Danio rerio: one gene and its partner. The protein of the gene in region 1 purifies or fractionates together with the protein of each later gene. This does not show direct contact. Links are inferred from orthologs where the notes say so. Each region holds a gene or a part of one and is shown on either strand. Other genes may lie near its edges. The genes, in order: mtch2 and ociad1.

The links.
Region 2: the proteins of mtch2 (region 1) and ociad1 purify together in Homo sapiens (affinity purification with mass spectrometry; 3 studies listed by BioGRID and IntAct, with this or other methods). This does not show direct contact. The link is inferred for Danio rerio from reciprocal best matches to the Homo sapiens genes MTCH2 and OCIAD1.

The regions. Positions count from the first base shown.
Region 1 is NC_133182.1:38,885,689-38,889,515, forward strand, and holds part of mtch2 (mitochondrial carrier homolog 2), read left to right. Parts: intron 1-1,253; coding exon 1,254-1,277; intron 1,278-1,421; coding exon 1,422-1,478; intron 1,479-1,690; coding exon 1,691-1,748; intron 1,749-1,841; coding exon 1,842-1,893; intron 1,894-1,964; coding exon 1,965-2,024; intron 2,025-2,154; coding exon 2,155-2,248; intron 2,249-3,442; coding exon 3,443-3,490; intron 3,491-3,827. UniProt on the Homo sapiens protein: Protein insertase that mediates insertion of transmembrane proteins into the mitochondrial outer membrane. Catalyzes insertion of proteins with alpha-helical transmembrane regions, such as signal-anchored, tail-anchored and multi-pass membrane proteins.
Region 2 is NC_133195.1:25,852,597-25,857,154, reverse strand, and holds the start of ociad1 (OCIA domain-containing protein 1), read left to right. Parts: upstream 1-1,438; 5' UTR 1,439-1,473; intron 1,474-1,479; exon of another isoform or gene 1,480-1,603; intron 1,604-1,633; exon of another isoform or gene 1,634-1,901; intron 1,902-1,999; exon of another isoform or gene 2,000-2,072; intron 2,073-2,789; exon of another isoform or gene 2,790-2,873; 5' UTR 2,874-2,881; coding exon 2,882-2,941; intron 2,942-3,087; coding exon 3,088-3,172; intron 3,173-3,285; coding exon 3,286-3,339; intron 3,340-4,558. UniProt on the Homo sapiens protein: Maintains stem cell potency. Increases STAT3 phosphorylation and controls ERK phosphorylation. May act as a scaffold, increasing STAT3 recruitment onto endosomes. Involved in integrin-mediated cancer cell adhesion and colony formation in ovarian cancer.

The DNA of each region.
Region 1 (3,827 bases):
TCAAGATTTTGTAAATGTAAAATAAAGGTTAATATGATTAGCCTATTTTTATTGTTATTTCTCAAACACATGGTAAAACAACAATAATGTTAGGCCGGTGTGTAGCTCTACTGTTGCTTAAAATGCTCAATTTTTTATTATGGTGGACTTCAACAGACTTTAAATATGTCCTGTTTGTTAATTCACAGTAAAATGATGACATCAGAATATAACTATTCATAATTATAAAGTTGATTTATTATGTTTAAAACATGTGCTTGTCATCTGTCAACATTATTAGACCATTATATATAGGCTAGGGTTGTTATACTGAAACAGTAAACATTTATTTTCATGCACAACACTTTGTGTTCGCTATGAAAGAAAAAAAACATTCAAATGCTTGTAATCATAACTCTAAAATGCGATATGCTCATTTAAATGTGCGCACAGGTTTCACTTTCTCTTCAGAGTGTGGCTCATGGCTGTTGTCACTGTGAGAGAAAAACACATACATGCAAATCAAACCTCCCGCACGGCTCTCAAATGATTGCTCTGTGCAACCAACTGAACGTTATTTACAACTTCATTACCTGTTATTCACAGCATATGCAGGTTATATTCACTGAAGTAGGCATCATTTGCATGCATCCGCGCATACTCAGCAGTGAACAGTGCGTCAGCTCTTGTGTGATTTCGTGACCGTGAATACATCGTTACATGAAGACAGAAATGACATTTTGGGTGAATTATAACTTATAAATACAGTATAGGACACTTTTAACTCCATTTGAAGGTGTCAATGTTGCTGTGAAGACTTGTTGGGTCGCCTTTTCTTCTCTCCTGACCTTGAAAATATAATTAGCTGAATCGTAGAAAAAGCTGAATTAGGATTGTGTGCAGGGTCGAATCGAGATTGTGATCTTTTTTCGATTAATCGTGCAGCCCTAGATAACATTGCTTTTGTTTGTTGAATATCTACTTCTTAGCAGTGAGACACTTTAATTTTTGATATACTGTACTTGGTAGTCTGGATTTGTGTGACCTTTAGTCATTGTGGAGTAAGATTTAACTATTGACAAAGTCAGCCAGTATATTCATAGTCGTGTACAGTATTTTATCCTTTTAGTTAGCTTTCTGTAAGCATAATCTGTGCCGGGTGTAGTGTTCAGACTGTTGCAATGTGACTTTCATGTTTATCTGGCTGGGCACAGTTGAGCAGAGGTTATTTATACTTGTTTTATCTGGCTCTAACCTTTTGTTATAACCCACAGAAGTGCCAGGAGGAAAAAATTGAGGTAAGAATACATCCATGAATATTCAATATAGGTTATAAATGTATCCTGCACATGCGTTTCCTTAATTTTTTTTTTAATTTTGTGTTTTATTTCTGGAGTCTGTTATACATTAATAATGTCAATCTCATCTTCTTGTCCTCTCAGGTGTTGGGAAGCAGTCTGAAATCAGACGAAGGGTCTCTGCAACAAGTAATAAATGAGGTAAAATAGCTTAAGCTTAGAGTTTAAGACTGGTCTTTGCACTTTTTGTCAATGAAGACTTGTTCACAGTCACGATTTAATGTGACAGACACAAGCAGCGTATATTTTATCAACATACTTTTGTGGTTGCAATGCTTCTTGAAGCCAGAATATTTTTGTGCATGTTTTGATGTTGTTTGTTTTAATTTTCCTGTTTATTTATGTCTTGTCAGACCACTAAAGAAATGATTGCTCGCTCATGTGCTACAGTTGTCACACACCCTTTTCATGGTAAATACAGTTATTAAATAAGTATGTTTTGCAATGGTGATGTATATCTCATTTTCTCTTAGTCTGAGAGTGTGTTTTTTCTTTTTATTCCAGTGATCACGCTCAGATGTATGGTCCAGTTTATTGGCAGAGAAGCCAAATACAGGTCAGTGGTTTAATTTTAATAGTTTTTTATTTTCTTTCATATTTATTAATGTTTGTTTTTGTTCTGTCCAGTGGTGTTTTTGACTCCATAGTTACCATATACAGAGAGGAGGGAATCCTGGGATTTTTTGCGTGAGTGCAAAATTACGACTTCTACTTGCTGCTTAAAAAAACTGATAATAATAGATCAGCATTCAATGACTCTGTGAAACATCTTCATTCTTGTCTTTAACTCCGTTTTTATGTGTCTGTAAACCAACAGTGGCCTCATTCCTCGTCTACTGGGAGACGTTCTTTCCCTGTGGATCTGCAACATGCTTGCTCACTTCATAAACACATACACTATAGATGAGTCGGTACGTAAACACACACGATCTCGTGCATCAACTACAAAGCATCTTGACCCTCGATTTGTACACCGTTATACAAGAACAGCTGCATATGTATCAATCATTATTGCATTCAGGGTTCCCACGTGTCATACAATTTCTGGAATGTCATGGAATTTCGAAAGGTCTTCTTCAGACATGGAAAATCAAATATATCTTTTTTTTTTTTTGACAAGGTTTTTGTTATCAATTACCAAAATGTAATTTGTCTATACCATATCTTATTTATACATTTGACCTATTGTTTTAATTAGTCTCCTTTTTAGCGTTTTTTTTTAACCTGAAAATACATGAAATACACTTGTCAAATTAAATTTTTTAAAACAGGCATGGACAGACAGTTTATATTAGATGCCATATTGGTCACTTTAGGTTGACTCATTTGTATTTATTGAGTAATGATGCACCACCAACATGTAATTATTGTCCAGCTGCTCTCACTATAAAACATTAAAATGTAATAGTTTAAGTACTATTAAACACATTTTTTATAATGAAATCACTGTTATGGGTGTTTTTAAAAAGTATCGCCAGGAAGAATTTAAAGTTATTTATCAAATATTGAATTAAAAAAAATTTTAAGCTTTAATATAAAGTTTTAGTGAATTTTATTTATCACTATTTGTATTTGTTTGTGTATCATTTCTTATTTAAATATGCAGTTGTAAAATATGACTAAAATAACCACACAGTGAGGCAATAAATAAAGAAATGAAGTGCAATTTTTTATTTTATATGTGTATTTATGTATATTTATAGATAGATAGATAGATAGATAGATAGATAGATAGATAGATAGATAGATAGATAGATAGATAGATGGATAGATAGATAGATAGATAGATAGATAGATAGATAGATAGATAGATAGCTAGCTAGCTAGCTAGCTAGCTAGCAGTCACTTAAATGCAGTCGCTAGTCTGTAGGCCATCCTGTTAACTAAGGCTAGAAATTTCAAGAGCTTAAGCCACAAAATGAACATTTTTTTTAGACTGTGTTGGGATACTCTTGTTATTTTAAATATATTTTCAAGATATATGTTTTCTGTTGTTGCTTTTATAATGGCTATTAAGTTAATGATAAACAATATTGAAGCTCAAACTTTTTAAATATATAATAATATTTTATACTGATCTGATCATGTCACTCTGCTTTTTTCAGACGAGTCATACAGGAGAGATCAAGAACTGCTCTCAGGCTGTGACTGGGGTGAGTCCTCTGATTTCATTTAGAAACTGAAAGTATCATTTCATTCAGAAACACTCTTCTTGTACAAAGTATGTAAATGACTTCTATTCGCAACTAAGTTTTGTTCTAAGTGAATTCTAAGTTGATAATTAATCAGGGTCATTGTGGCAATTATTTTACATCACTCACTGAAGATTGCTTTTTTCTCATAGTTTGGCTAAATATGCATTTAAACGTTTTTTGTTTTTTTTTTTGTGGAAACGAGCAAGCAGAAATCACCTGCACTCACTTTTCATTGTCTGGTTTTTGATGTTTAGTAGATTAGTTCCGACAAACGCAGACAAATCAAATAATTTTC
Region 2 (4,558 bases), on another chromosome or scaffold:
TGATCAGTTGTTCTGGAAAATATAAACAAAAGTTTCAATATAATGTTAACACACTTTCTATGCGAATTTATGTTTTGAGTTTTTACTGCAAATGTCACATGCATAACGCTGGAATTGCTCGTATTCTTTTTTAACATTTGGGTAAAAAAATAATAAAAAACTTTTATCCCATTGAACAAAAATCATTTTAGTTTTTTTATTTAGGAGCAGCAAACATGTCAGGCTAAATAATTTAAATTAATGATTGACTTCTGCTGTCTTCATTAGTTTCAAAAACACTTATTTTTTTCAACACATTTAAAAAACACATTCAAAAAAATCTTACATATACCTTAGGAATGGTATAACAGAAAATTTTAGAGGTTTTAAAACCTTGATTTTTCCAAACCACAGTAAACCTTGAAACCGATTCCACAGTATGGAAACAAAACTGTTTAATCTATTATCATAAGATTTTACAGCAGGCCAGCTTTTACACAATACTGACAAGAAATAAAAAGAAAAACTATCACTCAATACTTCTTATTGATTTGTTTCTGATTCTTCACTTAAAATTACATTTACACAAGTCTTTCAGATATTGTTTACTTGTGTTATTGCATGCACTGCATTTAAAATATATATACTAAATTTAAAAGCAAAAATTTCAAGAATGTAACACCTATGCTAAAACAATCCCATGCAGCAGTCTTCCCCCCTGAACACCACTACTGTTCACAAGAGAAACACTACTGTCTTGACACTCAAAGCGGTAAGCAGGAAGAGTTTACACTTCAAGATCAGGAGTGTGAACTCTTCTCTGCTCCCTGCTGAATAGGCAGCCCTCTCTCACCAAATGCTGAGACTCTCGAGTTGTTAACATAATTTATGACTCATGCACATGTTTGCATAGGACACCAATTAACATCAGTGAGCCTTTCATCTGACAGATTTTATTAGATGGACAAGATAAGTTTGTCTAAAATGAAACAAAGCCATGTCTGCAGATTAATAACTCAACACTAACGGCTGCTCTGGTTTTACTGCATTTGTTTACATTATCTCTTAAGGAAATAAAAGAGAAAGTAAACTAACAGATTGATAATCTGGTGGTTTCAAACAAGAGGAGAGTTGTTAATGAACACGACTTGGTGGCTTTAAAACCCAGCCTAGTTACATCCTGTAACTAAAACCGCAGATCTTTACTATATAACTTATTCCTCCACTAAACATGTAACTATAACTCTATTCTAAAGAGTTTTCATAACGTCACATGCTTGCAAAAACACGGCTTCTCTCTATTTTCTGACAGGTTAAATGCAGTTTTGGCTCGCAAAAACTTACACTATGGTTTGTGCATTTAAACTATTGTTTCGTGTGGCCTATTTAACTCACGAATGGCACTAATGGTGTCTAGAAAGGCTGTCTAAGTAGACTGCTAACTATGTTTCGTGACACAACCACTGACTGTACTCATCTTCGCTTCAAATGCAGGTCAACATAACATAACTTGTCTACCAACTGATAATATCCTGCGAGGGGAAGTGCATGTGATACGACAACCGATGAGAGTTAAACAATAAGTTTACTCTCCCTGCCCAACGTTAGACGTCGGATATTTGAGGTTAGTCAAACAGAATTCGGCCTTTCTTACCTTTTTTAGAGCAGCTGCGCTTTTCCTCGTCAGTTAGCCTGCTCACGCTAGCGCTGAAAACCCGATGTCTCTTCTCTCCAAAAGATGGCGAGACCAACTCCAGCTTTACAAAAACAACATTTTACATCCGTTGACCTCTAGTGTTCGATCTTGAAGCTGATCTTCTCGGTCTTTTTTCGCAAAACACCTAAAAACTCGACGAATGACAACGTGCCCACCTCCCTGTCCATCAGATTGGAGCAGCGCTGGCTAACGGCTTTGACAATCCGCTGTTCTGATAGGGGAGTTGCTGTGTCAAGATTGCGGATCCAAGCCCCGCCCCTCGCATTCACACGCTTAACAAACGGACCGTTGTATTGGCGGATTGGGACGTCAATCAACGCACACTACTGCTGGATAGGTTGAAGGACAAGACTCCCTCGGTTTGTCATACGCGTTCGTAAGCAGCATAGACCTGATAAAATCAATCTTTTTTTAGTTCAGACCCGTTTACTGTTCGTTGTTTATGAGATTAGTTATTCTCTGTAAAGTCGGTCGATAGAAGTAATTAAATGCTATTGACATACAAATGAAAGCGATTAATAACGTACTTATACTGACACTTTAGTGTCAGTTATGATTCTATTAAGTTAAATGTAGTTTCTCTGTTCAGACTAAAGTATTTATATTGTCTAAGATGAGCATAACCATTATTTATTGCTGTAAATGGGTTATTAGTTTTAGTCTTACACATTTTCACGTGTTTGGACGCTTTTTGCCCCTTAAATAAATAAACATGAAATCACATAAAATGTTATGAATATTGTTATTTTAAAATCGCACGTTATTATTAGATGTGTATTACAAATGTTATTACAAGTCTACGTGTCGTATGAAAACAGTTCACATACAAATTTACTTATACATGTAAAGAAACTAAAAATGTATATTTAAATAATTTATTAAATTAAGAATCCGGGGAATTAAAATTAGTTTTTAATCGAAGTCGAATTTACAGTAAAGCATTCCTCATTACATAACTGTTTATACAGTAAACAAAAGCTCACAAGGCAAAACAATAAATCGAAAGAGACTTTTAATCTGTACTTCCGGCCTAACGCCTGCACTTCCGGGTTGGTCTGTTTTCCTAATAAGAGTCGACTGGAGGTCATGTCATAAAATGTGTCGTTGAACTTGTTGACTGGTAATCCGCGTAATCCCATGGCTACTGCAAAAACGTTGTTTTTGTAATTGCATCTAGGATTGGTCATGTCGCAAGCATCGTCTGGATTCACTCCGGCTGCCCAAGTCCAGCATGGGTCCAGTAAGGTAACGTTAGGCAGTAAATTCACCTGGCAGTGTTTGTAAACTAGAACTAAACTGCTCTGTCTCACGCAGAAGTACTCCAAAAAGCAGAGTGTGTCACTTAATCATCAATAGGTGTTCTTTAATTACTCATAATTTTGCCTCCTCAGGGTGCTTTTAATTCTGCTTATATTCCCACTGAAGAAGAGAAGCGTGTCTTCAGGGAGTGCAACTCAGAAAGCTTCTGGTACAGATGTGAGTAATGCTATCCAGTCATTAAATGTTGATTTTCTGCATTACGTTTTAGCCTTTGCTAGATACAGATGAGCGTTTCTGATTATGTGTTTGTGCTTTCTCATTGTCTTCAGCTTTACCATTTTCTGCAATAGCAGTCGGAATCACTCAGGTACTGGTAGCAAAAGGTATGTTCAAGTCCTATATTTCAGGTTTTTACGTCTGTTTCTCGTTCCTATTGTCATGGAAAACCTGGAATTATCAGTGAAGATTTAAAACAAAGGAAAACCTTGGAAGTTTCCATATAGAGAATATGATTATATAAATATAAATTTGTTAATTTTCTTGTCGGCTTAGTCCCTTTATTAATCTGTGGTCGCCATAGCTGAATGAATGGCCAACTTATCCAGCACATGTTTTTTGCAGTGGATAGATACCGTCCAGCTGCAACCCATCACTAGGAAACATCTATACACTCTCATTCACACACATGCACTACACACAGTTTAGCTTATCCAATTTACCTATACCACATGTCTTTGGACTGGGGGAAACTGGAGCATCTGGAGGAAACCCACACAAACACACACAAACATGCAAAATCCACACAGAAATGCCAGCTGACCCAGCGACCTTCTTGCTGTGAGGCGACAGTGATATCCACTGTGCCATAGTGCAGCCGCCTATATAGAGAATATTGTATTTCTAAAAATTCTGAGATATGCTTCTTTTTTTTTTTCTTTCTTTTTTTTTTTTAATGCGCTTAAAGTGTTCGAAAATGTATATTGTTAGATATACCTTTTGGAAAGTATATTTAGTCTCTCTTAAAATAATAATAAAGTAAAAAAAACATTTCACCCTGTTATTAATAATTACTATAAAGGTTATTGTTAATTCAGGGAAATTTAAGGGGTAGTTCACCCCAAACTGGAAAATTGTCATTGTTTATTCTCTGGGGTTCTCTGGCTAAACTATCACAGTACCAGTTATTATTAGTTTATTAGTTTATTTATTTATATAGCACATTTTTACAACACAACGTTGCCCAAAGTGCTGCACACAATCAATACTAAAAATAAAATCTACATCACATACATAGCAATTAAAACATAAGGCAAACCCCTCAACATTAAAAAGGGTAAAATACTAAAGAACAAAGTATGCATCGTTTGGTAAAAGAACAATACAAAATTTCCAATCCTATTATTATTATTAAGTAGGAAATTGTTTATTTATTTATTGTAAACGTCTACTTTTACAATGATGCATTCAAAAAACTGCAGAAATGTTCTAACCAACAGGCCAATGTCATATACTGTACAGATACATTTCCTAATAAATAACCTTCTATAAATTAAAGCATTAACGTATGCTATATATTTTTTTCACAAGCTTTAGAGACGTAAC